Cricetulus griseus: one gene and its partners. The protein of the gene in region 1 interacts with the protein of each later gene in a pairwise test. Links are inferred from orthologs where the notes say so. Each region holds a gene or a part of one and is shown in the gene's direction. Other genes may lie near its edges.

The links.
Region 2: the proteins of Efhc2 (region 1) and Tssk3 interact in binary tests that used the Homo sapiens proteins (3 or more experiments, as listed by UniProt). The two-hybrid records come from large-scale screens. The link is inferred for Cricetulus griseus from reciprocal best matches to the Homo sapiens genes EFHC2 and TSSK3.
Region 3: the proteins of Efhc2 (region 1) and Clic3 interact in binary tests that used the Homo sapiens proteins (3 or more experiments, as listed by UniProt). The two-hybrid records come from large-scale screens. The link is inferred for Cricetulus griseus from reciprocal best matches to the Homo sapiens genes EFHC2 and CLIC3.
Region 4: the proteins of Efhc2 (region 1) and Cacnb4 interact in binary tests that used the Homo sapiens proteins (3 or more experiments, as listed by UniProt). The two-hybrid records come from large-scale screens. The link is inferred for Cricetulus griseus from reciprocal best matches to the Homo sapiens genes EFHC2 and CACNB4.
Region 5: the proteins of Efhc2 (region 1) and Mapk9 interact in binary tests that used the Homo sapiens proteins (3 or more experiments, as listed by UniProt). The two-hybrid records come from large-scale screens. The link is inferred for Cricetulus griseus from reciprocal best matches to the Homo sapiens genes EFHC2 and MAPK9.
Region 6: the proteins of Efhc2 (region 1) and Spg21 interact in binary tests that used the Homo sapiens proteins (3 or more experiments, as listed by UniProt). The two-hybrid records come from large-scale screens. The link is inferred for Cricetulus griseus from reciprocal best matches to the Homo sapiens genes EFHC2 and SPG21.
Region 7: the proteins of Efhc2 (region 1) and Ncdn interact in binary tests that used the Homo sapiens proteins (3 or more experiments, as listed by UniProt). The two-hybrid records come from large-scale screens. The link is inferred for Cricetulus griseus from reciprocal best matches to the Homo sapiens genes EFHC2 and NCDN.

Annotation. Positions count from the first base shown.
Region 1 is NC_048604.1:122,143,075-122,147,891, reverse strand, and holds the start of Efhc2 (EF-hand domain-containing family member C2), read left to right. Parts: upstream 1-1,729; coding exon 1,730-1,906; intron 1,907-4,817. UniProt on the Homo sapiens protein: Microtubule inner protein (MIP) part of the dynein-decorated doublet microtubules (DMTs) in cilia axoneme, which is required for motile cilia beating.
Region 2 is NC_048595.1:23,554,379-23,558,393, forward strand, and holds Tssk3 (testis-specific serine/threonine-protein kinase 3), read left to right. Parts: upstream 1-2,007; coding exon 2,008-2,152; exon of another isoform or gene 2,153-2,707; coding exon 2,708-3,369; downstream 3,370-4,015. Other genes in the region: protein FAM229A, read right to left, coding at 842-944, 1,075-1,221, 1,299-1,435. UniProt on the Homo sapiens protein: Serine/threonine protein kinase required for spermatid development and male fertility.
Region 3 is NC_048599.1:136,810,786-136,815,105, forward strand, and holds Clic3 (chloride intracellular channel protein 3), read left to right. Parts: upstream 1-1,771; coding exon 1,772-1,807; intron 1,808-2,547; coding exon 2,548-2,657; intron 2,658-2,735; coding exon 2,736-2,861; intron 2,862-2,995; coding exon 2,996-3,102; intron 3,103-3,187; coding exon 3,188-3,363; intron 3,364-3,443; coding exon 3,444-3,602; 3' UTR 3,603-3,627; downstream 3,628-4,320. UniProt on the Homo sapiens protein: In the soluble state, catalyzes glutaredoxin-like thiol disulfide exchange reactions with reduced glutathione as electron donor.
Region 4 is NC_048599.1:121,898,546-121,902,710, forward strand, and holds part of Cacnb4 (voltage-dependent L-type calcium channel subunit beta-4), read left to right. Parts: intron 1-1,718; coding exon 1,719-1,868; intron 1,869-3,991; coding exon 3,992-4,068; exon of another isoform or gene 4,069-4,165. UniProt on the Homo sapiens protein: The beta subunit of voltage-dependent calcium channels contributes to the function of the calcium channel by increasing peak calcium current, shifting the voltage dependencies of activation and inactivation, modulating G protein inhibition and controlling the alpha-1 subunit membrane targeting.
Region 5 is NC_048600.1:64,341,912-64,346,076, forward strand, and holds part of Mapk9 (mitogen-activated protein kinase 9), read left to right. Parts: intron 1-2,884; coding exon 2,885-3,067; intron 3,068-4,165. UniProt on the Homo sapiens protein: Serine/threonine-protein kinase involved in various processes such as cell proliferation, differentiation, migration, transformation and programmed cell death.
Region 6 is NC_048597.1:177,058,006-177,062,756, forward strand, and holds the start of Spg21 (maspardin), read left to right. Parts: upstream 1-1,611; 5' UTR 1,612-1,830; intron 1,831-4,751. UniProt on the Homo sapiens protein: May play a role as a negative regulatory factor in CD4-dependent T-cell activation.
Region 7 is NC_048595.1:26,291,329-26,295,493, forward strand, and holds the end of Ncdn (neurochondrin), read left to right. Parts: intron 1-127; coding exon 128-352; intron 353-757; coding exon 758-900; intron 901-1,869; coding exon of another isoform or gene 1,870-1,895; exon of another isoform or gene 1,896-1,950; intron 1,951-2,133; coding exon 2,134-2,570; 3' UTR 2,571-3,647; downstream 3,648-4,165. UniProt on the Homo sapiens protein: Probably involved in signal transduction in the nervous system, via increasing cell surface localization of GRM5/mGluR5 and positively regulating its signaling. Required for the spatial learning process.

The DNA of each region.
Region 1 (4,817 bases):
CGTGTGGTTTTTCACTACTTAATCCATCTTCTGGACATCCTCTTCTCAGCATCCTCATTCATCTTCCCTAGAGCCTTAGTTATGCTGACACATACATGGCATACCACAGCTTCTGAGGGTTACATTGCTGCCAAGATAACTTCTCTCTCTTCAGTCCCCCCCTCCTCCTTTGGGGTTATTTCTTTATTATGACAGGGTCTCACTCTGTGGCCCAAGTTGATCTGGAAGTTGCCATGTAGCTCAGGATGGTCTCAAACTCTAGCCTCCCAAACGCTGGCATTTTGGATGTGTCATACCAAACCCATTTTCTCTTGGCTTCTTTAACTGACCTATTTATGTGGCATTTGTCCTAGGGAGTGAAGGATTGCCAAACTTTGGCATTATGTAATTCACCTTCAGAATTAAAAATAAAGCTATGTGCAGTCCAACATATCCATTATATACTTAACAACTCTGCCAATTGAATCCCAATAAAGCTAAATATTTTAGATCCAGTTGATAAAAGGGGAAGTTCATAGTAAGAAAAAAAGGAACAAAGTGGTGTCCTTAAATTTGATGCTGAGTCTAGGGCCTTCTTTTGTTGTTGTAGTTGCAAAGTGTTTCAGAAGCTCACGATGAAGTCAGTGTTGTGCTGTCAAACTGAGACTTTTCCTTTACAGAAATGGAGAAGATAGAATGGAAATCTGTCATCATACTTGGAAATAGGACCTCAATGTTATCGTGCAGGGATTTTTTAATGGTGCATTTTAAAAATTAAATTTATTTATTATTTGCCCTCCATTCGCTCCTCTCATTCCCCTCCCCAGCCACCTCTCCTCTTCATGCCCACCCCAATCTGCTCCTCCCTGTTTCTGTCCATGGATGTCAACAAAACATGGAATATCAAATCACAGTAAGACTAAGTAAGCACTTCCCCTTGTGTTAAGGCTGGGCAAGACAACCAACCCAGTGTGAAGACTAGGTTCCCAGATTCCAGGTAAAGAGTCAGAGACAGCCTCTGATCCCACTGTTAGGAGTCCCACAAGAAGACCAAGCTCCACAACTGTCACTTATGTAGAGAGCCTACATCAGTCCTGTGCAGGCTCCCTGGTTGTCATTTCAGACTCTTTGAGCTCCTGTGAGCACAGGTTAGTTGTTTCTGCGGGTTTTCTTGTGGTGTTTTTGACACCCCACCTCCCCAGTGTTTCTACAATCCATCCTTCCCCTCTTCTATAGGATTCCAGGAGCTCCACCTAGTGTTTGGCTGTGGCTCTCTGCATCTGTTTTCATCAGTTGTTGGATGAAGCCTCTCTGATGACAATTGGGCCGGAAACTAATCTATGAGTATAGCAGAATATAATTAGGAATCATTACATAGAATTTTTTTGCCAATCATGTTTGGTTCTATCCTAGGTCTCTGGGCCATCCAGCCTCTGGGTCCTGGCACTCCAGGCAGTATTAGGGGTAGGTTCACTTTTGTGCCATGAGTCTGAGGCTAGACCAGTTCATTGCTTGGCCACTCCCACAATTTGTGTCACCCTTACCCCAGCACATCCCATGGGCAGGACAGACTGTAGGTCAAAGATAAATGGCTGGGTTGGTGTCCCAGTCCCTACACTGGAAGTATTGCCTGGTCAAAGGAGATGGCCAGTTCAGGCTATGTATCTGCTGTTGCTAGGAATCTTAGCTGGGGTTATCCTTGTAGATTCCTGGGAGTTTTCCTTGCATCAGGTTTCTACTTGACTCTGAAATGCCACCCCCATTTCCAGTCAGTACTCTCTCTCTTCATCCACCTCCAACCAGATCCCTCACTTTCCTATTCCCACTCACCCACTCATACCCAGGAGATCGCTTCCATTTTCCCTTCCCAGTGAGATCCGTGCATTCCCCCTTGAGCCTTCCTTTTTTACCTAGTCTCTCTGGGTCTGTGGATTATAACATGGTTATCCTTTAGTTTACAGCTAATATCCACTTAAAAGTGAGTACATACCATGTCTATCTTTCTGTGTCTGGGTTACCTCGGTCAGGATGATTTCTAGTTCCATCCATTTGCCTTCAGATTTTCTGATGTCATTGTTTTTAACAGCTGTACCACATTTTCACTATCCATTCTTTTTTCTTCTATTTTTTAATTTAGAAACAAGCTTGTTTTACATGTCAATCCCAGTTCCCCGTTCCCTCCTACCCTGCCCCCCACTAAACCCCTATCCCATCCCCTTTCTGCTTCCCAGTGAAGGTGAAGCCTTCCATGGGGATCTTCAGAGTCTGACATCACTATCCATTCTTTAGTTGAGGGGCATCTAGGTTGTTCCCAGGTTCCGGCTATTACAAACAATGCTACTGTGAATGTAGTTGAGCAAGTGTCCTTGTGGTATGATTGAGCATCCTTTAGGTATATGCCCAAGAGTGGTGTAGCTGGGTCTTGAGGTAAATTTATTCCCAAGTTTCTGAAGTACAGGGATTTTTATAAAATTTTAAAACAACTTTAATAATATATTGTTATTCCTTGATAATTTCATACAAAGTATCTTCATTAATTAACCCCCTAACTCCTCCAACAACTCCTCTGACATTCACCCCTCCTCCTCCCTCCCCCACTTCATGTCCTTTTTCTTTTTGTTTTCCATTTTTATTTAAATTAGAAACAAGATTGTTTTACATGCCATTCCCAGTTCCCTCTCCCTCCCCTGCCTCCCACTAACTCCCAATCCTATCCCCTTTGCACACCAGGGAGGGTGATGCCTTCCATGGGGGATCTTCAGAGTCTATCATATCCTTTGGAGCAAGGCCTAGGCCCTCCCCCATGTGTCTAGGCTGAGAGAGCACCCCTCATGTGGAATGGGCTCCCAAAGTCCATTCTTATGCTAGGGATTAGTACTGATCTACTACAAGAGGCCCCATAGATTTCCAAGGCCTCCTCACTGACATCCTCGCTCAGGAGGTCTGGATCAGTCCTATACTGGTTTCCCAGCTAGCAATCTGGGGTCCATGAGCTCCCTCTTGTTCAGGTCTGCTGTTTACATGGGTTTCACCAGTCATGGTCTTGACCCCTTTGCTCATCACTCCTCCATCTCTGAAACTGGATTCCAGGAGTTTACTTCAGCGTTTAGCTGTGGGTGCCTGCTTCTACTTCATCAGCTCTAGGATGGCATATAAGGTCAATCTCATTATCAGGGGAACGCATTTAAGGTAGCACCTCCACTGTTGCTTAGATGGTTAGTTGGGGTCATCCTTATAGATCTCTGGACATTTACCTAGTGCCATATTTCTCTTTAAACCTATACTGGCTCCCTCTATTATGGTATATCTCATGTTGCTCTCCTCTATTCTTCCCACAACTCAACCTTCCTGCTCCCTCATGTCTTCCTCTCCCCTACTCTTTCTCCTAGCTCCCTCTCCCCTACCCCATGCTCCCAATTTGCTCAGGAGATCTTGTCCCTTTCCCCTTCTCTGGGGGACCATGTATGTCCTTTTTTTTTTTTTTTTAAGAAGATTCTATCTTGAAGCAGATGTTCTGGTCCTGTTGATCTCACAGTTCCTCTGCCACCTCTTCCTTGATGTTGCCTGAGCCTTAAGTGTAAATGTATTAACCCGGGACAAGCACCCATGATCAGTCGATCTGTGCGTTTTGACCAGTTGTGGTTTTCTGCAATCCCTGTCTGCTGCACAAAGAAGTTTCTTTGATGAGGGCTGGAGCTACATTTATCTGTGGATGTAAGAGCAAGCATTTAGAATGCAGTTAGAAAATTATACTTGTTTAGTGAGGTGGAAGTATTAGGTTCTCCTTTAGGGTCTGTAGTCTTAGATATGAAGTTCCATTGAGTGGACCTTAAGTCCAGTTAGGTGACTATTAGTTAACCCTGGGCTATCTAAGTACCACTATATTTTTTTAAAGTTTTTTTCCGTAGTTTGGGGAATAGGACCCCAGGCCTTATGCCCAAGGCAGACACTCTACTACCAAGCCTGAGACAACCCAGCTTGGAAGGAAGACATCTTAGTTCAGGTAGACATGGTAGGATTTAATCTGTCTCAAGAGCCTCATGTAACCAACATGGTAGTTGCATCTCTTACAAATCTGCCATCTTCAGATGATCATCTGCTTTTGAGTCCATGCTACCAATCTGTCTTCAGATGTGTTACATTATCTGGCCTCTGTGTCTTAGCTTTGACTGTGAGCTTGACACAGATTAGAATCACCTGAAAAAGGATTCTCAATTGAGGGACTTTGTAGATAAGCTTGGCATGTTGGCACATCTGTGGGGGATTATCTTGATTGCCTTACTTGATATGGGAGAGCCCAGCCTACTGTGGGCATTGCCTAGGCTGGCAGTCCTGGGCTTTAATTGGAAAGCTAGCTAAACATGAGCCAATGATTGAGCAAGTCAGCAAGCTATGTTTATTGCTTATGCCTTCAAGTTCCTGCTTGAGTTCCTGTCCTAACTTTCCATATATGGACTGCGACCTAGAAATGTAAGCCAAATAAACCCTTTTCCTCCCCTAGGTTGCATTTGGTCAGAGGATTTTATTATAGGAACAGGAAGTAAACCAGGATAGCCTGAAGCCCTTGGGAAATCTTTAATGGCTCCTCCCTGATTGTTTTACCCAGATCAAATTTTAGTTTGGGCAGCCATTTAATGTATCACTCGAGGTTTTTGGACTTCCTAGATCTGTAGCAGTATTGTATTAAGTAGATATACCATAGCACCAGAATTTAAAAAAAAATTGTCATATATGCTGGGTATGGTGGAACACACCTCTATCCTTGCTTCCAGAGCAGCTGGGGCAAGAGGATCTCTTGAACCCAGGAGTTTCAGGTTGGTCTGGATAACATCCTTCCG
Region 2 (4,015 bases), on another chromosome or scaffold:
GAGAATTACATAGACTTGCTGTGGTCAGTCTTTTGCTTATTTATTTTCTACATTGTCCACTCAAATTTCCATCCCTTGCTTCAGTCCTGAACTGCTGTGAACAGCCAGTGTCCCGCAGAGAAACCCAGGCCAGGGAAGGGGAGACTGACAACTGGAGTATTCTGCGGCCGAAGGGGGAAAAGAGTAGCAACCTCCTTGGAAGAGGGTGACAACCCCCTAGAGCCATGGTTCTCAACCTTCCTAGTGCTGTGACCCTTTAATACATTTCCTCATTTTATGGTGACCCGCAATCATAAAATTATTATTATTAATATTTGGTTTTTCGAGACAGGGTTTCTCTGTGTAGCTTTGGAGCCCGTCTTAGAACTTGCACTGTAGACCAGGCTGGTCTCAAACTCACAGAGATCCGCCTGCCTCTGCCTCCCGAGTGCTGGCATTGAAGGCGTGCGCCACCAACGCCCGGCTTTCCAATGGTCTTAAGCGACCTCCTGTGAAAGGATCCTTCGCCCTCAAAGGGTGGAGACCCACAGGTTGAGAGGGAAGCTGGCTGGGAAGTGGAGATGGGTGGAGGGCTGGTCTGAGGGAGGAGGCAGCCCGAGGGACAGTCGGGTGATACTGGGTAGGGCAGAGCAGCCCGTGGGCCCAATCCGACGGATACACATACACGGCCAGCCCGGAGTGGAAAGAACAGTTTATGCTGTGCTTTATTAAAATGTGCATCATTCTTTTATTTTAAAATGTGCATCATTGTCTCGTGCTCGGCGCGTGCGACCTCAGCGTGGTGGCCCGCGGCTGGCCTCGTCCTGCCCGGCTCCTGCGGAGCTGCCGTGCGCAGGCGCACTCAGGTGGCACGGGCCCGAGGGCTCCCGCCCATGGCCAGGTAGACGTCGATGGGCACGTGCAGCAGCGTCAGACAGTGGCAGCCCGGGCAGCGTCGGAGCGGCCTGGCGAAAGCGGCAGGCGACAGGGGGCGCATAGTGTTGGAGCGTGCCCGGGGGGCGCGCCTGGGGTCCTCTAGGGTAGGGCCGGGGGATGGCGATGGGGCGGGGCCGAGGGGCAGGGCATCGGCCTCACCTGACAGGGTTATGATCCGTAGCTACAGGCTCCGGGCTGTCCTGGGACTCGGGGGCGGAGGCAAGGCCAGGGGAGTCTCCGGCCTCAATGGGGAATCTTCGACCCTGTGGGGTCTCCTGGGCACTCATGTCCAGGCCCCGGGGCACTCTGCGCGGGGAGTGGCGGTCAGGCGCCTGGGGGCCCCGGGCGCTCCCTGCCCGTGCCGCCTCCTGTGTGTGGCTTACCTGCCGGAGGCCGAGGCCGGTCCCAGGCTGGAAGCAACTGCCCGAGCCCTGGCCGCGGGAGGACGCTCCGGTCCAGGCGGAGCCTGGCAGGTGTCTGCTGCTCGCTGGGGCCCCGGCGTCGAAGGGGAGGGCTGCATTGTGACCCCGGTCTGTGGGTGCTGACCTCACACAGCCTGTTCTCGCTGGAATTCTAGGCTGTCCCAGGCCATTCGGGCATTTAGTGAGGGCCTGAAGCCGGAGGGCTCTGGCGACTGCATCTTGGTGACCGGTTTGCACTATCCCCCAACAGCTCGATGAAGACTTCGGAGATGAGGGTGACCGAGCCCACATGGAGAAGCCCCGCATCCCTGCTCTACACAGCCACCCAGGCCCCTGCTCTGACACTGTTACCACTCGGTGCCTTACTCATGAATGACTTAAATGAGGCTGGGTTTCCTGGTGGTGGTGAGGGAAAGTAGGGACACTGCCCATGTTGTCTGAGGGTCACACAGCATTTACATCACAATTGGGCAGGAGTTTAAAAATGTCTGGTCCTCTCCCTCCCCACCACCTGTGGCTGTGTCCAGACGGAGAATGTTCTAGCCCTGGAGGCGGCTGTGGATGAAGTCCTTGGGGGGAAAAGAAGCAGGCCAAGGGCGATGGTGGAGTAGAGCTGCCTCGAAGAGGCAGCATGAGCTGAGAGGGTGACAAGAAGGAGGCGCTACACAGCATGGAGGACTTTCTACTCTCCAATGGGTACCAGCTGGGCAAGACCATTGGGGAAGGGACCTACTCAAAAGTCAAAGAAGCATTTTCCAAAAAACATCAAAGAAAAGTGGCAATTAAAATTATAGACAAGATGGGAGGGCCAGAAGGTGAGCTGGGGCCCTTTGGAGGGTGGGCTAGCCAATGTTGGCAGGTGCTTTTCTCAAACAGTTCTTCTTTCCTTCTAGTCAGAATGACAGTAAACAGATTACTGCCCTGAGGTCTGTAGTAGCCCTAGGCACGTGGAAAATCCAGGATCATTGCATCTTCCCACGTCCACAAAGCACAAAGCAAAGGGGCCTCAGTTTTTCCTTTCCCAGAAGGTGTTGGCTAGAAGATGACAGGAGCCTGTGCCAAGAGGTGGGAAAGGGACAGGAAGACAGGGCTTCTGGGAAGAACCCTGGGATTCGATAGCTTTGTCTGGTTTTCAAGCACCCCTTCATCTGTGGTCTCATGGGTTGCAGGGAGGAGGTTCCAAGGGTGAGTTAACCCTGAGATAATAAAAGGTCATACTTGCCGCTAGAACATCTGAGACTATTCAGGCAGTCAAGGAGGGACAGACAGAAATGGTGAGTGTCCAGAAGCCAGAAGACGGGAGTCAGGAGGGAGGAAATTAGACCCTTCTGATTTTGATAGCCCCCTTTGTCTCCCCGCTTCCCCCAAAGAGTTTATCCAGAGATTCCTGCCTCGGGAGCTCCAGATCGTCCGCACCCTTGACCACAAAAACATCATCCGGGTGTATGAGATGCTGGAGTCGGCAGACGGAAAAATCTACCTGGTGATGGAACTGGCTGAGGGAGGGGATGTCTTTGACTGTGTGCTGAACGGAGGGCCACTTCCCGAGAGCCGGGCCAAGGCCCTCTTCCGCCAGATGGTTGAGGCTATTCGCTACTGCCATGGCTGTGGCGTGGCCCACCGGGACCTTAAGTGTGAGAACGCCTTGTTGCAGGGCTTCAACCTGAAGCTGACCGACTTTGGCTTTGCCAAGGTGCTACCCAAGTCACGCAGGGAGTTGAGCCAGACCTTCTGTGGCAGCACAGCCTATGCCGCTCCCGAGGTACTACAGGGCATACCCCATGATAGCAAGAAAGGTGATGTCTGGAGCATGGGTGTGGTCCTGTATGTAATGCTCTGTGCAAGCCTACCTTTTGATGACACAGATATCCCCAAGATGCTGTGGCAGCAGCAGAAGGGGGTATCCTTCCCCACTCATCTGGGCATCTCAACCGAATGCCAGGACCTGCTCAAGCGGCTCCTGGAACCAGACATGATACTCCGGCCTTCAATCGAAGAAGTTAGTTGGCACCCATGGCTAGCAAGCACTTGATAAAAGCAATGGCAAGTCCTCCCCAATAAAGTAGGGGGAGAAAGCAAACCCAAAAACCTGCTTCTAAAATGGTGATATATATCTTACCCTTTAAGTTCACTTACTCCATAGCTTACTCCCACCTCCCCAAGGCGGCCCAATAGGCCCCTTACCAAGACATCTTTTCCTCGAACAATCCTCCTGGAACCAAGGGCCTTACACCCAGACTTTTATTAATTGTTCTCTATGTTTATAGATGTTTAAAGTTCATTAAGTTAGACCCTAAAATCATCATGGGCAGGGAGAAGAGAGAAGGAACATGACCCACTGGAACCACTCAGGTGCTACAACTTGCTTCCCAAATAAAAGCATTTGGGATGCAGAGATTGAGAGGCTGGTTCTCATCCCGTTCTCAGACTAAAGGCCTCAGGAGACGGGCTATATCCCACCTGTGCTGCCAAGGTCAGGCTCATCCCATTCTCAGACCAGAGCCTCAGGAGCCAGGCTATACCCCACCTGTGCTCCCAGCTCCAGGCAGGGAGTCACAGCTGCAGCTGTAGAAGCCTTTCCAGTATGGGTCCAGTATGGCTGCAAAGGGGACAGAAACATCCCCAGACACTTCTGGCTTCTGTTCAATCACTTTAATGCTGTTATGTCAAATCTGTAA
Region 3 (4,320 bases), on another chromosome or scaffold:
ACATCCTGGGGGTTAAGATTCCAATACATAAAACCTTTGGGGGAACACAACAAACCTGTACCAGAATCTGCTGGCATGCACCTGTGGGTCCATCTCTCATCCCAATCTCTGTGAACGACACAGTTCATCAGTGCGGTGATGACCCTGGAGTTTGGGAGGCAAACTGGAGCCAGCTCCAGTAGTTGATGGCTCTTCCAACCCACAGACTGACACAGGACATGTCCATAGCTCTGCTTGTAGCAGTAAAGATCCTTCATCCCTCTGGCTTGTTCCTTGAGATATGTTTTGTTTCTTTTCCTCCATGCCACTACTCATGTTGTTTATCCACGTCACCCTTTCCTGTGCATTTCTAAGGGCAGCTTTGTAAAAATATATAAACACAGGGCATGTCTGGTGACCACTTGGTTGGAAAGGCTTCAGGGCCTACAGTGGTGATCTGTCTGCAAAGGACAGAAAAGCACAAAGCAGAAATCTGACTCTGGCAGTGAGAAGCCAAAATAAAACTGGCTCTAGGAATTAAGAGGAGAGTCAGAGGAGAAACTGAGACTCTGGAACAAATCCGAGCCCCAAGGACATCAGAACTGCATTCCACCTGTCTGGGGGCTCAGCTGAGGTCAGGGAAGTGACCAGACAGGGCTAAGAAAGAGGGAAGCCTGGGACAGCTGAGGCACTGGCCAGAGTCTGGCATATGAGCAGGTGAGTGGGCAGGTATGGAGACACCTTGGCTGCTCTATCCAGCCTGGATGGCACCAAGCTACTAGAGAGGGGAGAGCAATCAACAGGTCCTCTTAGCCGTGGGCAGTGCCAGTTTTATGTGAGCGTAAGTTCTGAAGGCCACGCCTCCTGGAAGGCTGCCTGCACTCAAACGCAGGCAGAGACACAAGTAATGCCAAGGGAACTCACACTGTGGACCCCAGTGGGCTCGGGGAGACTGAGTGAGCGGCAGGTATGTGCTTTGTAGGCTCAGACTACCCTGGCCTTTTCCTTCCTGCTGGGTACTACATTCTCAGTTCCTCAGCCAGAGGTAGCAGCTTCTAACCCTTCCTGGGGCCATCTGAAGGTTTAGGTTAAGAGTAAGAAGCCTGCTCTGAGCCCATGTGAACAGGATGGGGTATGAAATCCTCTGCCTACCTGGGTTAAACAGCAAAACCAGGCTCATCAGACTGCCAGCCATGAACACATCAGGAATGTGGGGCTGCCCTGAAGGCAGAGGGCCCTACCTGACTGGGCTTTGTGGGAGGGAGTGGGCATCTCTTCCAGAAGAGCTTATCACACAGACTGGTAAACTGAGGCATTTCCCACTCATCCCTCTGCCCTAGATTTCTGAGAATAAGGACTTGACAATGGAGAATATGCTACAGGGGGCTTCGAGGCAGGCCCTGGCCTGAGATCAGTGTAGCATGGTTCTGAGGCAAAGCAGTGCCTTCAGGGCTAGTAGTAGCCTAAACCCCAGGTCTCTCCTGGCCTCTTCACCCTCCTGTCTGCATTCACCACACTGGCTCCAACACAATCATGCCGAGGCTTCAGTCTTTTGCTGTGAGCCAATTTCCTATACTTACAGCCGGCCCTGAGACTCAGGCTCCCTGTGGTCACTGTTATGCATGGACACCCTGGTCTTGTACAGACAACTGGCTTTGCCCTGGCAACCTAGCTGCTGCCTAGGTGGCTCTGTGGGGCGGGCCCACAGACTGGGGAGGGTGGGGCATCCAGGGAGACTTAAAGAGCTCCCAAGGCACACCCTGTGCTGCCGCCGGATGCCTCAGCTCCTACCATGGCCGAAACCACCAAGCTCCAGCTGTTTGTGAAGGTTCTGGGCAGGCTGGGCTGGAGGGGGTGTTCTGTTTTCTTGTACAGGCTGGGGGGGATGGGTTTTCCTGTGGGTGTTCTTCCCCTGTGGTGGGCTGAAGCTGCCCCACACAGAGCTGAACAGAGTCAGGCAGGTTGGGGGAGGAGCTCCCATAGCCGGGTGGGAGTGGGGGGGATCAGATAGCCAAGGTCTCTTCACCTTGGCTCCTGGACTTGGCCCAGCTCTGGGAGAAAGTCCCTTGGTGGGGAGGTATCAATCTGGTAGACATTTAGCTAGAGATTCAGGTTCATGTGCCAGATGGCCCCATTAGCTTAGGCCAGTGCTCCAGATCTGAGTGGGGGCAGGTCCTGGCCTCCTCTTTGGTCATTTCCCTGAGCTGAGCTGTTAGCTTCAATACCTAGTTGTGTGGGTTAATCACTTGGAAGATGACTCTCTGGCCTACCCCATCCTGTTGTCAATCTCTGTGCCTGGAACTCTCTGGTTCTGAAGAAAGCTTGTGGAAGGCCCCAAACCCAGGCCCTGTCCCTACCTGCCTTCAAGTTCCCAGCTTCCCTTGTTTTCCCCATTCCAGGGATCAGGTCAAGGGCCCTCACTAGACACTTGTAGATGCCATGCCCAACCATGCCAGAGTCCTAGGGTGCCTCCAGAGCCAATGGCAGTGGGAGGCAGGTTCCCACCCAGCCAGGTGTCAGGATTCCTGGGTCTGCTCCCAGCCCAACACCCCTGCTCCACCCACCCAGGCCAGTGAAGATGGTGAGAGTGTGGGCCACTGCCCTTCCTGTCAGCGGCTCTTCATGGTCCTACTCCTCAAGGGTGTGCCCTTCACACTCACCACAGTGGACACACGAAGGTGAGACACAGCCCTGGACCCCTCCCTAGCTTCTGCCCCGCTCAGGCCAGCCACCTCCCTTCTGCCTGGTGTCCACAGGGCGTTGGATGTGCTGAAGGACTTCGCACCAGGCTCACAGATGCCCATCCTGCTCTATGATGGGGATGTGAAGACAGACACACTGCAGATTGAAGAGTTTCTGGAGGCAACACTGAGGCCACCTGAGTGAGCACCTGGTGGGGCAGGAGGGCAAAGATGGGACCCCCTGGGGGTACAGTTGGGAGAAAACTTAGGAAGGGCACTTTGAGACAATGTATGTGAAGATCTGACTGGAGTTCTCAAACCACTCACACCTACAGCTTCCCTAGCCTAGCGCCTAGGTACAGGGAATCCATCACAGCAGGAAATGATATCTTCCACAAGTTCTCTGCCTTCATCAAGAACCCAGTGCCTACACAGGACAATGGTGAGACACAGGCCAGGAGGTATGGGCAGGAGGGCCAACCCAAGGAAGGCCAAGGTAGAGTCCTCAATGTGCCATTGCCCCTAAGCCCTGTATCAGCAGTTGCTCCGGGCCCTGACCAGGCTGGACAGCTACCTGCGTGCACCACTAGACCACGAACTGGCGCAGGAGCCACAACTTCGAGAGTCCCGACGCCGCTTCCTAGATGGTGACCAGTTTACCTTGGCTGACTGCAGCCTGCTGCCCAAGCTGCACATTGTGGATGTGAGTGAGGGACCAGCTGGTAGATGCGGGGAGAAGGGCCATCGAGCGAGGCCCCTCATCACATTCCATTGTACCCACAGACCGTGTGTGCGCACTTCCGCCAGATGCCCATCCCTGAGGAACTGTGTGGTGTCCGCCGCTACCTGGACAGTGCACTGCAGGAGAAGGAGTTCAAGTATACATGTCCACACAGTGCAGAGATCCTGGCAGCTTACCAGCCTGCTGTGCACCCCCGTTAGCACCCCTAACTCCATACACTCATCTGCAGCCCCATAAAGACATCCTGCCCCAAGTAAATGTGTCCTGAACATCTAAGTGGCCAGAGGCCCACAATTACGCCAGTCCAGTCCCACAGTGAGAAGCATAGTTCAAGATGACAGCCTAAAATGATGAGGGCAGAAAAGTCTGGTAGGCAAGGCACAGTTCACCTTCATCCATGGTGCTACAACAAAAGCCTGGAGCCCCCAACAGCTGCCCTGGGACAGAGGGCAGGGATCTAGGAGACTGGATTAGTCTCCCAAACCAGTCAGGCCAGAGCTGGGCGGGGTGCCCTGGATGGCCAAGAAGGGTGGGGAGCAGAGCGCCATGGAGCTCAATCACCGGGATCCTGGCCAGGTAGGTGGGGGCAGGCCTACATTCCTTAGTCCTGCCACAGGCTGAGAGCCAACTCCATCTCCTCCTGTAAGGGGCTTCCACTGTCTGATGCTCTATGGTACACATTCCTCAAGACAATTCTGTGCATCTTTGTATGGGACAGGTGTGACCTGCCCTGCCTGGGTGGGGCTTGGAAGTGTGGGACATCATTCCCAGCCTTATAGAGTCCTGGCCCTACCAGGCTGGGACCTTCTCAGCTTCTGGGCTGGCCATGAACACAATCAGTCTGAGAAGGCTTTACCCTAGATCTAGCCAGGAGAGCCTCCTGGATGCACAGAGCCTGGTGCATCTGTTTGGATCTTG
Region 4 (4,165 bases), on another chromosome or scaffold:
TACTTTGTGTGTGGCACCTTCAGATTGCCCTGACAGTATTTGATGTGTCTTGCTGGTAGCTTTAGGGTCTGTAGCTCTTGATCAAGGGGTTTTCCTTCAGTCTGGCAGCTCCTTTTTCTTTTGTAGTGTCATTACTGATCTAGTAATCGTATGCGGATCAGAGCTCCTTGTTTTCAAGTCTTGCAGATAAAATAAAAAGCATCTTAGAAAGAGAACATACTAATCACTTTGGGGAAATCAAAGGCAAAATGAGGAAGGGTGGGATGGTGCTAAGGGGGCCTTTCCCGAAAGGGGGCTCAACCCCTGGGACACCAGCAACATGGACGGACATGCTTCCTAATGGGCCGACTTCTTCCTTTTATGCCGTCTCTCAGGTACCAGCACACTTTCTGTTTTCTCAATAATGGAAAGGCTTAAAGGTCAAGAAAAGACACAATGGTGCTTGTTCCAAAGTCAAACAGAGAGAACTGAAGCTCATGACTTTGCACAGCACCTCACTCCCCAGTGGCCAGAGAACTGTCACTCACATTGAGTCAGAGGCTCGGTGTTCCATAGCTGTTTCTTAGAACCACAGTAAACCCCTTTGGGAAGTCGAATTAGCCATCTTAGGCAGCAGCCCTTAAGTTCACCGGGGTACAACTTAACAAATTAGTGCCCCAGTAGGCTGACTTAATTTCAGGAAATAACTGAAGCCCTAGGAAACTCTGATTCATAGTCTGTTGTCCCTGTCACAGTAAAATGTAAACTCCAAACCTACGCACCAAAGTGTCCAAAAGGGTCCACTTGCCTTTTCTTAATTACAAAATAAGCAGGACTGTTATTTCAGGTGTATTATCCTGAATTAAAGACAGGAAACTAAGAGTCAGATTGTTGGAGTCTCTCTGTCACATCAACTCATGCTCCTTTCAGCTCAGTCTCAAGATGGGCACAAAGGTTGGCTTCTGCAGGGGCTCTGTGCAGAAAGGGCTGAATATGAGAAGGTTACTTGGGATTATCCGAATTACTTAGAATTTCATGCCGTGATGATTCAATGAAGCTTTCGTTCTTCCTTGTTACAATGTCAGTATTAGAGTTAATGTAAATTCCACTTTCCTCTGTGCTAATCCTAGAGTTGGTATGTTACATCACACACACACACACACACACACACACACACACACACACACACACACACACACAGAGGAAAAGAGTTTCTTGTCAATGCTGATAAAGACCATGAAGGCACCTTTGTACTCATTCCTGGAAGGCTTAAACAATATGATTTCTATCTATTTTCTAGAAATTACCAGTAGAAACATTCTCTTGAGGCAGATGGCTTAGACTAAACTGACATCTGCCCTGGGACTCAGTAAATCAATAATTGCCAATGTGATTTTGCTGATAATCTGAGTAAGACTGTGCTGACAGACTGTTAGCTCACTTACATTGAAACACAACCATGCTCTTGAGTCTTTGTGATAGTAGGACAGCAGAATCCACGAGTTACAGTAGAGATCATATTTACCATTCAGGCCATTGCAAATAAGACCCCTGAAGAATCTTCCTTTAGTCTATCAACTGAAAACATTTCCTACAAAATACAAAAGCACGGTGTTGGTGGTTTCTATGCACTGTATGTGTAATGTGGCTTCGTACATCAGGTGACTAGCATTTGATCCCTCTGCTTCCCTGAAATAAACACTGAGACGTGAGGTTAACTGAATTACTATTGATAGCAGCTTTCCTCTCTGCTTTCAGAAATATAACAATGATTGGTGGATAGGAAGGCTGGTGAAAGAGGGCTGCGAGATTGGCTTCATCCCAAGTCCTCTTCGGTTGGAGAACATACGTATTCAGCAAGAACAGAAAAGAGGCCGATTCCATGGCGGGTAACATCCCATCTTCTTCATGAGCTAGCCTTTTTTTCTTCCCTCCCTCCCCCTTTTGCCCCCCTCCCTCCCTTCTTCCTTACTTTATTTTGTGGGTAAAATTTCAAGTTTCTTATTAAAAACTGGCTGAAGCAGTTCATTCTTTTAACTTAACCTCTGTTTTCAGCTGGATTCTATTTTATCTTGGAAACATGCTCTTGAAGACTCTCTTTGCCTTCACCCCAATGAGAGCCTACTTTTAAAGCAAAGGGACACTTAACTGCACACATACTGTTCTTGAGGAGGACACAAAGGTTTGGGGTTCCATTGTGTTCTGAACTCCAGCAACTCAGAAATTCACATGAATTCCACAGTGGCAGCTGCTTCCTGTGGGCTCAGAAAACCTATCTGCAAACCCTAGTTTTCTTCTGTGAGAGTTACATGGGGCCTCATTTCTCAAGACAGCTCAGGTAGCAGCTGACATGACCAAGTGTTGTGGTTTTGCTTGGTTCTCTGTCAAAAGCTGTGTCCAATAAACTCAGAATGTGATGGTGCGGGACAGTCCTGGGCACACTTTTCTTTACTTGGTTTCTTGTGCCGTCATCTTCTGCTGACACTGTGCTGAAGACACTGGGGAGCTGCAATGTACCAGCCTCCCATGGTCAAAGGAAACAGCACACAGACTTCAGAGCGCAAGTGGCAGGTCCCAGGAGGGTGAGCAGTTTGAGAGAAGTCCTGACTGCATTGGGTCTCAGTGGTACTGCTACCTGCCCTGAAGCACAGATTTCAAATGTGTTAGCAAGTTTTGCTAATGTTATTGCTGTGAGACAATCTCGCTATGTAGTTCAGGCTTCCCTTTGGTGAGGCAATTCTTCTGCACCAGCCCCACACCCTAGTGCTGGATCACAACTGTGCATCGCCATGTCTGACTGAAGCAGTTCTTTCCTTTTATTCAATCTCTCTTTCCAGTTAATTTTTCTAAATAAAAAAAAATGTTGTGCTATTTAAGTCTTCCCTAATGAAAACCTTTCAATAGTAATGGAAGATCATAGAGGTATAGTTAAGCACCATTCTAATGATTAATCTTCTGTTAGGGTGTTTTATTATTAATCCTTTGGTTCCCTTTGCCCTAGACATTTCATTCTCTATGCTTCTTAGCACATCAGGAACACTTGGCCCTTCCAGGGGGCCTTTGCATTTCCTTCCTCCTACTGGGTACCTCTTCCTCCTTTGCTGTTACCAGATCACTCCATCTCCTTCAGGTGCTTATTGCCGTTCCAGTGACTCCTTCCTTCCCCACTGTATTTTAAGTTGTATCCACTCCAGACTCACCCTTTCCCTGCATTTCCATCTCTTTCCAAATAAATTGTTTCTATTATACTTACTACTCTCAGAAAAATTAGATTTTTACCTATTTCTCTTGTTTGCCTTGATTGTCTCCTACTAAAAAGTGTCTCAATAATCTCCCACCATTGTCGCTATTATACACACACACACACACTTTTTTTTTTTTTTTTACTTCAAGGCAAGAGAAACAATAATACCAAGGGCTCATTCACAGAAGCTAATTTGTCAGCTTCTCTCTGTAAGGTATAGATAACTCCTATTTCCATAGATGGGGAAAACAAACACCCAAAGATGTGTTGCAGTATTTTCCACAGGCAGTAAGTGACAGAACTGCTCATCATTGGGCTATAAACATACATGACTTACTATTGATAGCCCCATTACTGTTGATAGCAGGAAAAGTTTGTGGGACATCCCCGACCCCATACACTTAAGAAGCATTTCTCCAGGTCCTCTTGCTTGTATTGAGCTGTCTGGCCTCTGACTGGTACTTCAGTACTTGAATTCAGGTAAACACATATCTCCACATTGCATCCTTGCCAGGGGTCCTTCTGCCCAATTTTTGCACAAATAACAGGGAAAGAGAATTTGCCAAGCATTTCCAAGTCTCAGTTAGATCTCCACTTTCTCTGAGAAATGAGGTCAGCGAAATCATTTGAGCAGATTCCCGAAGCTCTTCTAACAAGCTTTGGTATGTTTTGAATTATTTAGTAGAAGGCCAAAGAACACCTTGGATTCTCAGTTTCTGTTTTCAAAGGATCTGGGGCGAGAGTCTTAAGTTTGTTTCCATGGTCTAGGAAATCGAGTGGAAACTCTTCCTCCAGTTTGGGTGAAATGGTGTCAGGAACATTTCGAGCGACCCCCACAACAACAGGTGAGCAGTCTTGCTGCTAAACATCTGAGCACATATGCAAGCATTAGTAGTGGTTTGGAAATAAAGGCTTGACCTAAGATTTAAAGTGTCTTTTATT
Region 5 (4,165 bases), on another chromosome or scaffold:
AATAAGTCTTTATTTTACAAGTAAAATCAACTAAGGAAAAGTTGAGGTATTTGAAACCAATGACTTAGAAACACCTTGTGGACTTGTGATGGTTACTGTGATGGACTACCAATGGCAGTGAAGATTACATTTGTGCCAGTTCTTACTTGTTTTCTACCTTTTTTTCATTAAGAATTACTTTTCCTGCTGGGTGGTGGTGGCGCATGCCTTTAGTCCCAGCAATTGGGAGGCTGAGGCAAATGGATCTCTCTGAATTTGAGGCTAGTCTGGTCTACAGAGCAAGTTCCAGGACAGCCAAGGCTACACGGAGAAACCCTGTCTTGAAAAAACAAAAACAAAAAAATTACTTTTTCCAAAAAGTAAGAATAAATGAAAAAAGTATGTACTTTTGAGTATACTTTAATAATTTTAAATTATAATTAAAAATATTTTATGTGTTAACATGTTACAATAGTTGATGTTTTATATATAAGGTCACCCTAAGTGCTTTAAAGTTGCACAGAAATTAACATCATTTTCTAAAGAAAGTTTTGCTCACTTTTTCAAAGTTTAGATTGAAAATTTGGGTGCTATAGAAAGGCTCCAGAAACCAAGTTGAGGTTCTCTAGAGGTTTGCTTGTGACCTTGGCAGAAAAATAACTGCTCTCCTTACTGTGGCTTCTGAGAAAGAAAACACTTGAGCCTGGCCACCTGAAGTCCAAGTTCAGACGGCCTCTCATGGCAGCTGTGTATCTTGGAGAAATTCTGGTCTTTCTGGGCTATGGCTTCCTATTTTTCTAAATGAAAGACCTGTGCTCCATCCACCCAGAAGGTCCACCTTGCTTCTTTCCCAGGTAAAGCCCACTCCCCCACCCCATGCCACCTCCCTGCCACCATCTATCAAAATGACCCTGTAGCACTAATCCAGATATATATATATATATATATATATATATATATATATATATATAGAGAGAGAGAGAGAGAGAGAGAGAACCTACCCATTTGTAGGTGCTTCATCTAAGTGAAGTGTAAAAGATTCACTGCCAAGATCTCTTGAGGACAGTAGAAGCAGGAGGCACTGCTAGTCACCCAGAAAGAGATGGTGGGGCTCACACCAGGCCAGTTGGTTGGCCCTGGAGTCTTCTCCGAGGGGTAATCAAATGACTTTGTGGATTCAGAGTATCTAATCTATCAAGTGTGCAATTCAAGGCAAAGATTTGGAACAAAGAAAGGAATGTGGAAATCATTGGTTTGTTGATAGCACTGAAACCTTGAGCTGGTACTAAGCATTGAAGAGATGAACAAAGGATCAGGGATTAAGGAAAAGGAGGAAGGGCTCAGAACTTACCATTGGGTCTGGTGGTTGCCCCTGGCAACCTTAATGGAAACAGTTCTCCAGATGACTGGGGAGAGAAGTCTGATGAGAGTACATTTAGGAGAGGACAAGGACATAGGAATTAGATGCAGGTTATCAGTAAGCAGACTAGGGGTGTCACAGGAAAGTGGCTGTTGTTAACTTGGAAGAGAGCATCATGTCTGAATGATGGCAGAAGGTTCCAGTAGAGATCGAGTTTCGGGTGGAGCATCAAGAAATAAGAATAAGAGATACTTGTCCTTCAGTAGGTGAGAAGGGAAGGTAGATGGGCTTGGCTTTTAGCCAGAAGCCCAGATGGTTCCCAGTGGTAAGTGGCACAGAGATATGGGGGTGGGGGCATCATGTTGCTCTTAGGATTAGTCTTCACAGTGAGGAAGGAACATCAGGAAGAGGTGTTAAAAGTATATGGAGAGAGGGATAATATGGGCCAGGTTTCCTGTTTTGGCTAAGCCCCTAAATAAAACCTGTGCATAATCCTGAGTTGTCAAAGTGCATGAAAGGAGAGGAGAAGGAGAGCACCCAGGATTTCACTCTCTGCACCCATTTCCTGAGTAGACCTTCCAAATGAACGCTCTGTAAGACCTGAGTTTGTGTGACAGCCCTAGGTGATGTTCCAGGGGCATAAACACATATTCTGAGAAAGCCTGTCACTTTCCAAGCTCCTCTTATGTGATTTCATAGCCTGCATTGTCTTGTGTGACTGTTTACAGCTTCAGTGTCACTTTCCACAGACATTGTCCCAGTCACCCTAGGCCTAACGAGCACCCCTAGAGCTAAGCAAAGCTGGTGTCACCTGCATGTACAAGTGAGGTCGTCACTCCTAAGGACTGACTCCAGCAACCTTGAGAGTGTAGAACTCACTGACTATGAAACCGAGGTCATGTACATTGAAAGGAAGGAACAACACATCACTAGATGCTGAAGGGATGGGCTGGTGCTAAGTGAAACAGAATGGCCTCTGAAAGCATCATTGTCTAAGGCAGTTTCAGGAGGGTGTGTGGTCTGTGGGAAAGGCCTGAGCCTGGGCCCCTGCCCCTTCCCTCTGTATGCTTCCCGTGGTCAGCCTGTTTCGCAGGCTTTGCTGCCTAGCTATGAGACAGGTCAGATGGTCTCTCCAGCTCTTCTCTCCTTTAGAGACCTGTGAGTCTAAGGTAGCTTTAGTATGAAAATTGATTTCAGTTTGCTTATGTAACATTTGTTTATTTCATGTTTAATCATTTATATCATAGGTTGAATCATTTTTGTCATAATTTCATTTTGAATTATAACAGAAAAACTTATAGATTATGTTGATTTAATGAGCCATAATCATAGTCTTTAAGATGCAGAGAATGAGAGTTTTTGTTAAGTAATTTAAAAACCAAACCTTATTTAAATACTATTCCAAAATGTTTTTGCTGATCCTGTGGGGTGACCTAGTTACTTACTTGTCCACAAATATAAATATAATTTTACTTTGCATGATGGTACTGTATATGTTATGACTATGAAGCATTTCAGTTGTATTTTCCTCAAGAGAATCCTTAGATATTGATCAGTGGAATAAAGTTATTGAACAGCTAGGAACACCGTCTGCAGAGTTCATGAAGAAACTTCAGCCAACCGTGAGGAATTACGTGGAAAATAGACCAAAGTACCCTGGAATCAAATTTGAAGAGCTCTTTCCAGATTGGATATTTCCATCAGAATCTGAGCGAGACAAAATAAAAAGTAAGGTATTCTTTTATTCTATAATTGTTTCTCTAATGTTTGAGCTCTAAAACCCATGTATGTTAAGAACCCTGAAATAGCATCTCTTATGGTCTGACATTTGAATGCACCACAGAGTGAAAACTTAAAGACCAAGAGTCTTGACCTTGCTAAAACAAAGTAAAAAAAAAAAAAAAAAAAAAAAAAAAAAAAAAAGGCCAAAATTAAAATGTCCAGACCAATCTGGACAACCCTTAGGTTATGGGTTAGAAGATGCCTGCAAGTATGAGGACTTGGATTGTGTCCCTAACATCACACAGAAAGCCCACACATAGCTGCATATGCCTAGCAGGTCAGTGAGAGATCCTGTCCTAAAGGAATAAAGGGGAGAGCAATAGAGGAAGACACCTGACTCCCTCTTCTAGCCTCAGAATACATGGTAAAACACACACACACACACACACACACACACACACACACACACACACACACACACACACACACACACACGACTCATTGTGATGTCAGCAATCCAAATTCAAAATGTTTTCAAATGCAAAGAACTTCAGTTCAGTAAGTTCACTTCAGTAAGGATTCTAGACAGAAACTATTGAGTGTGGCCCAGTGAGAATGGCCCTTCCTGCCCTTCCATGCTCTTCCTAGACTGTGATCACCTGAGAAAAAACAATGGCTTTGTCTCCTCTACCTCAGGGTGAGCAGCACCTGGGTCAGGAAACCCTAGCCTTTCCTTGGTTGTATATTGTGAGCTTTTCATTGAGACCTCATTGAGCCTTCTGCTTAATTAAGTTGAGCTTGTTGGTTTTTTTTTTTTTTTCCTAACTACTAGCCCCTAGATTGAAAACAAAAAGTGTATACTGTCAGCATTGTATATGGCTAGGCAAAGCAGAGAAACCTCTGGGCTGTGGGTACTGGGAACATTTTTACATTGTTCTACTGTGACAGAAAAATACTCCTGGTGCTTCACGTCCATGCTCCTGGCAACACCACCCTAAAGAGGTGCTTGCTGTCTTGTCTCCTGTGCCGCTTAGCATTAGGTCATCTGGACACTGGTCTGAGGCTGCCACCTCTGCTGCTTCCATCTCCCATGCTAAAAGCCTG
Region 6 (4,751 bases), on another chromosome or scaffold:
TTTCCAGAGATCTCCAAGGATGACACAAACTGACAATCTAGGCAATGGTGGAGAGGCTACTCTAAATGCCCTTCCCCTATGAGACTGATGACTACTTTCTATGCCATCCTAGAGCCCTCATCCAGTGGCTGATGGAAGCAGAGACAGACACCCACAGCTATACACTGAACTGATCTCTGGAACCCAGTTGCAGAGAGGGAGGAGTGAAGATCAAAGGGGTCGGTACCAGGCTGGTGAATCCCTCAGAAACAGCTGGCCTGAACAAGGGGGAGCACATGGACCCCAGATGCTGTCTGGGAGGACAGTACAGGACTGATCCAGACCCCTGAACGTGAATGTTAATGAGGAGGCCTAGGCACTCTATGGGGCCCCTGGTAGTGGATCAGTATTTTTCTCTGGTGTAAGAAGGGACTTTGAGAGCCCATCCCACGTGAAGGGATGCTCTGTCTCGGCCTGGACACATAGGGAAGGGCCTAGATCCCGCCCAGGATGATGTGGTGGACTTTGGGGAGCACTCATGGAGAGCCCTACCCTCCCTGGGGAGTGGAGGGGGGAGGGGGGGCTGGTGGGAGGTTGGGGAGGGAGGGAGAGGGAGAAGGGATTGACATGTGAAGCTATATAAATAAAATTTTTTTAAAAAGATATATTTTTAAGTTCTCCTTAAAACACTAAGATCTTGCTATAAGATTCTTAAAATTTTTCAAACAAGATTTACAGATAATTCAATATGATCATACATTATTTCAGAGCAAAACTACTTACTGAAAGGAGTCATAACATCTGCACCCTCTTTTGTAAGAACAGTGATTAGAGTGAGCCTTACAGAAGAGGACCTGTGTCTGAGGGCAAGCCTAGTGTTGAGTATGTTCCCCTCAACATCAGCACAAAGCCGCAAAAGGAGACAGTTTGGACAGGAGGTCTGAGGAGGATCTCTGTAACTGTACAGAGAAAACTAGTTCTGTTGAGAAAAAGTATGTAGTTAAGAAGAGGGAGGAGATGGGAGCATGAGAGGAAGATAAAGACTAACAGGGTGATGACCAGAATACTTTATGTAGATATGAAAATGTCCTAATGAAGCCGTTATTGTGATTTAATTAACTTATGCTAATTAAAAAAGAATATATAGCCGGGCGGTGGTAGCGCATGCACAAGGCGGGAAGTGCGCAGAGGCAGGACGATCTCTGTGTGTTCAAGGCCAGCCTGGTCTACAAAGCGAGTTCTAGGACAGCCAGGGCTACACAGAGAAACCCTGCTTCGAAAAACCAAAACCAAAAAGTAAACCAAACCAACCAACCAAATACATCAAGCTCTATTCACCAAAGCTAGAACCCAAAGATGTCTCCCCCGAAGCACGAGCCACCCGAAAACTGAAGGCAGAAGCACAGACTTCACTGCCATAGCTTTCTCCTGGTGCTTATGTCAGACAGGTGACCTAGGACGGACCCTGACCCAACGCCAGCACTGGCGCCAGCTTCTGCATTGCTCCAATACATTTGCGCTCGGGCGAGCACAGAAGCTCCCATCCGGGGCTCCACGCCAGCCTCGTTGTCATAGTTACCGCCAGAGCCCCGCCCCTTCCTCGCTGTCCGGCCCCGCCCCTCAGAACCCGGAAGCGGGAGGCGCGCCCCAGGGAGCTACGGGATTCAGACCTGGGAGGCGGCGGCCTCTGGCTGCTCAGCCGCGCGCCCCCTCTACCTGCTGCGCCCGCGGAGCCTCTGCTCTGCAGCCGCCCGGCCCACCCGCGCCCTGCCGCCTGCCTCCGCAGCGCCCGAACCGGGCCGAAGAGCCGTTTGGGCTGGAGAGAAAGGGACGCGGGGGTGGCCACGGCAGGTGAGGGGCAGGCCTTGGAAAGCGGAGTGAGGGTGTGTGGTGCGTGTAGGGTTGTAGGTGGGTGTGTATCGAGCATGCGTGACTAGTGAGTGTCGTCCACGGGTGGGCCGGTCCTTGTGACCATGCACGTGATCCATATCCGTGTGTGTTTGTGTCTGTGTCTAAGGCCCAGCCTCGGTTCATTGCGGATGGTCGGTGTGCCTGTGGGTCCACTATTGTGTGGCTATGGCTATAACTAGTGGGACTCAGGGAGGCCCCAATGGGGGTTGGTGCCCAAAACCTTAACCGGACATCTTCATCTTCTTGTACCACCCAACTTGGGGCTGTGCGGCAGAAGCTCAGAAGCATTTGGTTTCAGTAAACTTTTAAGGACTGCGAGTAGAGGCCAGTTCTGGAGATCCTGCCTTAGACCGGGCATGAGGCTTGTTAGAGAGTCATGAGAAACATTGCAGGGCTAGCGAGTGTCTCGTTTTTCTTTTCCCAGGAAGTTAGTTGTTAGGTGCTGATGCAGTTGCTTTGTCTCTATCTGCAATTGTCCAGCTACTCTTCGTGCAAGGATTCTAAGGATTGGGAAGTCCTCTAATACTGTCTGAATTTTTCAAAAGGCATTTACAACAGGATCTTGAGAAGAGGTGTCAGAAGATGTCATGCAGGCAGCATCTCCTGTCATGGCATTTAGAGACAAGTGGATAGGTTCCTGGAGAAAGAGGGATGAATTTTCCCTGAAGAAATCGCCCCCGAAAGATAGCTATTTAATACATATGGGTGTGCTGGGGGTGGGGTGAAGATCTGCAGTAAATAGCCAACTGTGGTTCTTTGGGTGTAGTTTAGTGGCAGAAGCTCATGCTTAGCATTCCCGAGGCCATAGGTTCAGTTCCTGGTACCGATAATCATAGTTGTGTCACCTAGAGGCTTTCAAGGTCTAATGCTTTTTTTATTGGCTGTAATAATCACAGATTATCCCTATGTAAGTCCACTATAGATTGAGATAAAGGACCAGCCATATGTGACCATGTGAGTTAACATTTGTAAAGCTGATTTCCTCAGCTGTAAAGTGCAGGTTCTGCTGAGACTCCACGTGCATGCTCACATCCAGCAACACAAAGTCCAGAAAGGACCAGGTGTCCTCAGCATCCCGGAGGAGGGGTTTCCTTAATCATGATTAAAGCTTATCTCTGGCCCTTTCCTCACCAGCCTGAACAAGTGCTTTTGTTTTTGTAAAGAACTGAATCATGAGAAATCGCATCTGTGCTGAGCTCACCGCTCACATTCTTTTTTCATCCTGACCAGTTTGGTCACAATCTCAGCTAACTTTCTGGGCCATAGACACAATGTTTCTTTTGTGACTTGGAAAAGCATCCGACCTAAGTGGATGAAAGAGAGCTAGAACAAACTTTCCTTTTCATACTGCTACAGCTGCTTTCCCTTTGCAGCTTTTTTTTTCTTCTTCTTCTTCTTCTTCATAGCCGTCAGCTGGTCACATGCAACATTTGGTAACTGTCTCGCCTTTCATTACTGCCGAACTAGCACAAGTGTTAGGCTCACTTGTCTTTACAAACGTGTACTCACAGCTGGGCAAAATCTCTTACCCATCAAGATTAGTTATAACGTGTCCTGTTGCAATACTGAGGTAGTTGTGAATTATACGGAAGGCTTTTGGTAAGGACTACCTTCTACCCATTGCTATGGGAAAGAAGTGGGTGACTCGGGGTCCTTGTGTGCCTGCCTACGTGTTTGTGCTGTGGTTTGGTTTGTGAATTGCACCTGACTCTAAAACTGTGAATAATTTCTACCGTAAATGGGTTGATTCTAGAAGTAAACTTTAACAAATTGATTGAAGTTTTTGTTTGTGTGTCTGTTTTGAAATGAGGTTTCACCTATCACTGTGTAGCCCTTGCTGGCTTGGAACTCACTATGTACACCTTGAACTCAGAGTTCTGTCTTCCTCCTGAGTGCTGGGATTAAAGGTGTGCGCTATCATCTGGTGGTTTCACATATTTTTGATATTCTCTCCTACAGAAATTGTTCTAGAAAATGTCTTTAGTTGGTGTCCTAGTGTAAAGTATTTCAGAATTAACTGCTAGTTGCTTTCATTTAAAAAAAGTAGTAGCTTAAGGGAGACAGAAGAGGTAAATTGACTATATTACATTTTGCATGAAACTATTCAAATAATAAGAATCTCTAAAAGTTGTTAAAGTTATGATATAAAAATAGTTTAAACATCTTAGATACTAAACTTGTTAATATTTAAGATAAATGGATTTTGCAAAGGATTGTGTTCTTTGTTTTAGTGTTAATGACTGAATCTGTGCACGATGGTTTCAATATAAGATTGATGGTAATTTACTTTGTGTTTTAAAACAATTTACAGTTTTAGCGGGGGCGGGGGGGCTCTGCTCTCTGTGAGTTAGAGGCCAGCCTGGTCTACAGAGTGAGTTCTCAGTTGGGGATACACAGTGAAATCCTTTCTCAAAAAAAAAAAAATTACAATTTTAACAACCCTCTCAAAATATTTCCTTTGCTTTGAGATAAGAGACCACTATCCTATCAGCATTGTAATTAGAGTTTTAATATTGGTCTGTCTACATTTACTGTCTCCTGGAAGTTCAGTGTAGTGATTCTCAAAGGTAGCAGACCAGTGTTGTGTCCCTGTAGAAAGAGGCCAGAGAATGAGGAAGGGTTCCATTAAGTTTAGAATTCTCTGCCCCTTGCCAGGCCAGAGAGCTTTTTCAAAGTCAGCCTAAACTTAAGTCCTGGACTGTCACCTCATCCCTACTAGGGACTCTAGTTCTGCCCTCAAAGCAGGGGAATGCCACGCAAGACATGTATTTGAACCTTTCCAGGTGGGCCAAGTGCTCTTGGCCATAAGAATCTGCAAGAAGGAACCTTCCCTTAGGTTCCTGTTACAGCATCGCACAGTC
Region 7 (4,165 bases), on another chromosome or scaffold:
TGACTGAGGTTTCTCTGCGGTACCATGAAAGTGTCCTCTTCCCCTAGCTTCTACATTTTTTTTTTTTTTTTAGTCAGGGTGCCCTTATCTCTTCCAATCTCACGTTCATCTGTCTCCACGTGCTCAGGCTCCTCCTGCCCGGCTGGTGTCACCTGACTGTTGAAGATGGGCCCCGGGAGATCCTGATCAAGGAAGGGGCCCCCTCACTTCTGTGCAAGTACTTTCTGCAGCAGTGGGAACTCACATCCCCCGGCCATGATACCTCAGTGCTGCCAGACAGCGTGGAGATCGGCCTGCAGACCTGTTGTCACATCTTCCTCAACCTGGTGGTCACTGCACCAGGGCTGATCAAGTGAGGGGCTTGGGAGAGGCTGGGAGGAAAGCCAAGGAAGCAGAGGGGCTGTCCTGTCAGCCCGCTCTCAACCTTCTCCTTAGCTTCCCTGTGTCTGTAGTTTTCTCTTACTGTTAGTGTAAGCAGGTTTCAGAACAGACAAAGTCAGTCCCACTCGAAGATGTGTTGTATTCAGAGCCCCAGGTATCTCAGGGCATGTCTGTCTGCTCCAGCCATCACTCAGCTCAGTCAGCTGGCATCTGACCAACCCAGATGGCAGTCAAAAGTTAACACTTCACCCTGCTGCGTGATGTCCTGGCAAACCCTGGTCAGGTGAAGCTAGAAACCATATGCCAGGTTTTCCAAAGGGCTTGACCGAGTCTGCTAACCCTCTGCCTGCCACCCCCCTCCCCCTTTTCTCCCCAGGCGCGATGCCTGCTTCACATCGCTTATGAACACCCTGATGACATCACTGCCCTCACTAGTGCAGCAACAAGGGAGACTGCTTCTAGCTGCCAATGTGGCCACCTTGGGCCTCCTAATGGCCCGGCTCCTCAGCACCTCTCCAGGTAAGCCTTGGGGACAGAATACATGAGTTCAGAACCTGAGCCCTCACTTTCAGAACATGGTGTGGCAGAATTTTCCCATTGAAAGGTAATTTCTACAGTATCGCTCCATCCTCCACCCCCACCCTTCCCAAAATGATAACAGTCTCTTCCTTTTAAATACTTTTAAGGCAAGGCCTGGTGGGTGTTTGGTACAGACCTGTTCAGAGTCACAAGCATAGGCACCTGGAATCCCTGGCAGCCTGGGAACTCTGAATCCCGCGTTTTCAAGGTGGAGCTGCCCCCACCCAGGCCCTGAGTCACAGGCGTGGTTTGCTGCATTGAGATTTTTACCACTTAGCACCCCACCCCACTCAGTGACACGCATCAGCTTCTCTCTGCCCTCCCTCCCTCTGGCTGTGTGCAGGGGGAAGGGCGTCCCCTCCAGCCCCTGACAGCCCTCAGTGTCTCCCACTTTGACCGTGGGTGTCTGCTTGGGTCCCTCTGTCCCCGCCTGTTCCCTGTGCCCCATCTGTCAGGTTGGAGGAACAGAGCAGATGCCTGGGAACAGGGTGTAATGTGCCCATACCCTCAGCTGCCTGTTTTTTGTGTGGGGATCCCAGCAGGGTACCTTGCTGTGGAAGGGGGAACGTATCCCTGAACTAGGAACCCCTTGCATTTAGCCCTCAAGGAGAGTCACTATGCTTTGGATCCAGTGCTGGGTCACCCACAAATGCTACCACACTGGTTGAACAGCTTCCTGGAGATCCAAAGAGGGGGCTCCTGAACCCCTGAATAGCAGATGGGCCAGAGCTGGGTCGATGTTCATCATCCCCTTTGGCGCCCTCTTCTGGCAAGAAGTCAAATTAGTTCATTCTCAGCCTGGTGAAGGGCTCTGAGCCCTCAGCTGCTTGGGTCCCTACTGTGGAAACCCCAAGGAAGGCTCTTTCTTACATCTGACATGAGGCTTACTCCTACCTCTTGTGCATTTAGAGGTCTTGATGATGGAGTGTACCTAGATTATTTAATTCTGACAACGTGTTGCTAAGATTGGCGTGCCACTGGCCCCATCTTAAAATGAAGAGACTGAAACCCAGAAAAGTTTAAACACCTAGTATCACACTGTAAGTGTTAAAGGTAGGCTTTGAACCTAGGCAATGTGAGTCCGGGTGATGCTTCTGCTCTCTGAGCATGGGAGGGAATTAGTCCAGTGTTTGGCCTGTCTGGTTCATACCACTGCCCTCTCCATTCTTTCAGCTCTCCAAGGAACCCCAGCCTCCCGAGGTTTCTTCGCAGCTGCCATCCTCTTTCTGTCACAGTCCCATGTGGCACGGGCCACCCCTGGCTCTGACCAGGCAGTGCTGGCCCTGTCCCCTGACTATGAGGGCATCTGGGCTGACTTGCAAGAGCTCTGGTTCCTGGGCATGCAGGCCTTCACGGGTTGTGTGCCACTGCTGCCCTGGTTGGCCCCTGCTGCCCTGCGCTCCCGCTGGCCACAGGAATTGCTACAACTGCTAGGTAGTGTAAGCCCCAACTCTGTCAAGCCTGAGATGGTGGCTGCCTACCAGGGTGTGCTGGTAGAATTAGCGAGGGCTAACCGGCTGTGCCGGGAGGCCATGAGGCTGCAAGCGGGTGAAGAAACAGCCAGCCATTACCGCATGGCTGCCTTGGAGCAGTGCCTGTCAGAGCCCTGAGGGGCATCCAGTAGGGATAGACCCAGGGGCGGGCAGCGAGGGAAGGAGGGAGGAGGCATCTTCCCTGAAGCCCCCAAACTGGACCCTTCTTCAGACTTCCCCTACAAACACCCCAGCTTTCTGGCTTTTCTGAGGGCTAGGGCATGATGCCCACCTCTTAAGTATAAGGAACTGCATCCTGCCCCCAGCCCCCTTGGGGCAGGGATTGGCTTGGAACAGAGGTTGGCCCCGCCAGGCCGGGGAAGGTTGGAGCAGCCCCAGAACGAGGGCAACTAAGTGTCATTATACCCAATGTCTGGCTCCCTGACAGAAGGGAGGTTCCAGGGTAGGAGCGGGCTGGCAGGCGCTGACTGCCTCAGCCTATGTGCCCTGCCGGCCAGGGCGTGGCCTCCCCAAGGCTGTGGTGCCCCTTCTGGCTCCCCAAGGTCCGCGCCCTTTATATTGGCCATTTGGTTCTTGCCTTTAGTCCTCTTGGACGGAGAGCAGGCTCAGGCCATTGACATCGCAGTTCTTCCTTTCAACTTTAGTGACCCAGGGTCCGACATGCCCCTGTCCTTCCAGGGCAATTTGGAGCAGGCAGACCAGTGGGGGGGTGGGGAACCTCTTTCCACCTGCGCTTCCTTGAGGGAACCCAAGAGCCCTTGGTCCCAGGTCTCTTGAGCTTTTGTGTCATGTTGCAGCAGAGTGAAGATGGGGGTTGGGGTTATTTATTTTGCTTGTCCTTATCCTTGCTTGGAGACCTGAGCATCAGATCCCTGTGCCCCTGGTGCCATCTGGCCTGGCTGGAGCCAGGAGCAGGAGGTTACACCACCCTAGAATCCGCATGTTTTCCCAGTGATTGCACTCCACTGCCACCGTGGTGCCTGGCTTCAGCTCCTCTACCCCAATCCCTGCTTAGACTCCTGCAGGGAGACGCGACTGGCGGCTCCAGCAGGAACTACCTTTCTGAACCCTTGGAGACCCGCATACTCCTGACCCCTTGCTTCACCCCACCCCCGCCCCCAGTGCGTTCTGTGACCGCCAAGTTCAAAGCTGTGTACATGTGGACACTCAATAAATGTTCATTGGTGATGAGAAGCCGCCTTTATGCTCTGACCTTCACCACTCTGCCTTTCACACTCTACACTCTCACCACTGTCTGCTGAGCCAATGTCCTTCTAAATACTTAGCTGATGCTCTCATTCATCTCTCCCAGGAGCTAGGAAGAAAGCACCATAGCTGTGGTTTTACAGGCAGGGAAGTCTTAGACACACCCTGCCCTAGTACAACAGGTTCATAAGACCAGATGTTGATGTCAGGCATTCAGACAGAAGCACTGTCTGTTTGCATCAACTTAGTTCCAGGGTCATTGCCATATCCTCCAATTAAAAAAAAAAATGTTATTAGGGTATGTGGTTGGGGTGGGGTGCATGTCCCATAGCACTCGTAGAGGTCAAAGGACACCTTTGGAGTTAGTTCTCTCCATCTTTGTGTGGGTTCTGGAGATAGACATTAAGTTACCAAGCTTATATGGCAAGTACCTTTACCCACTGAGCCATCTCACAGGCCGTGTTCCAACTCCTAAAGAAATCAGAAATCCTAATTTTTATTTGGAA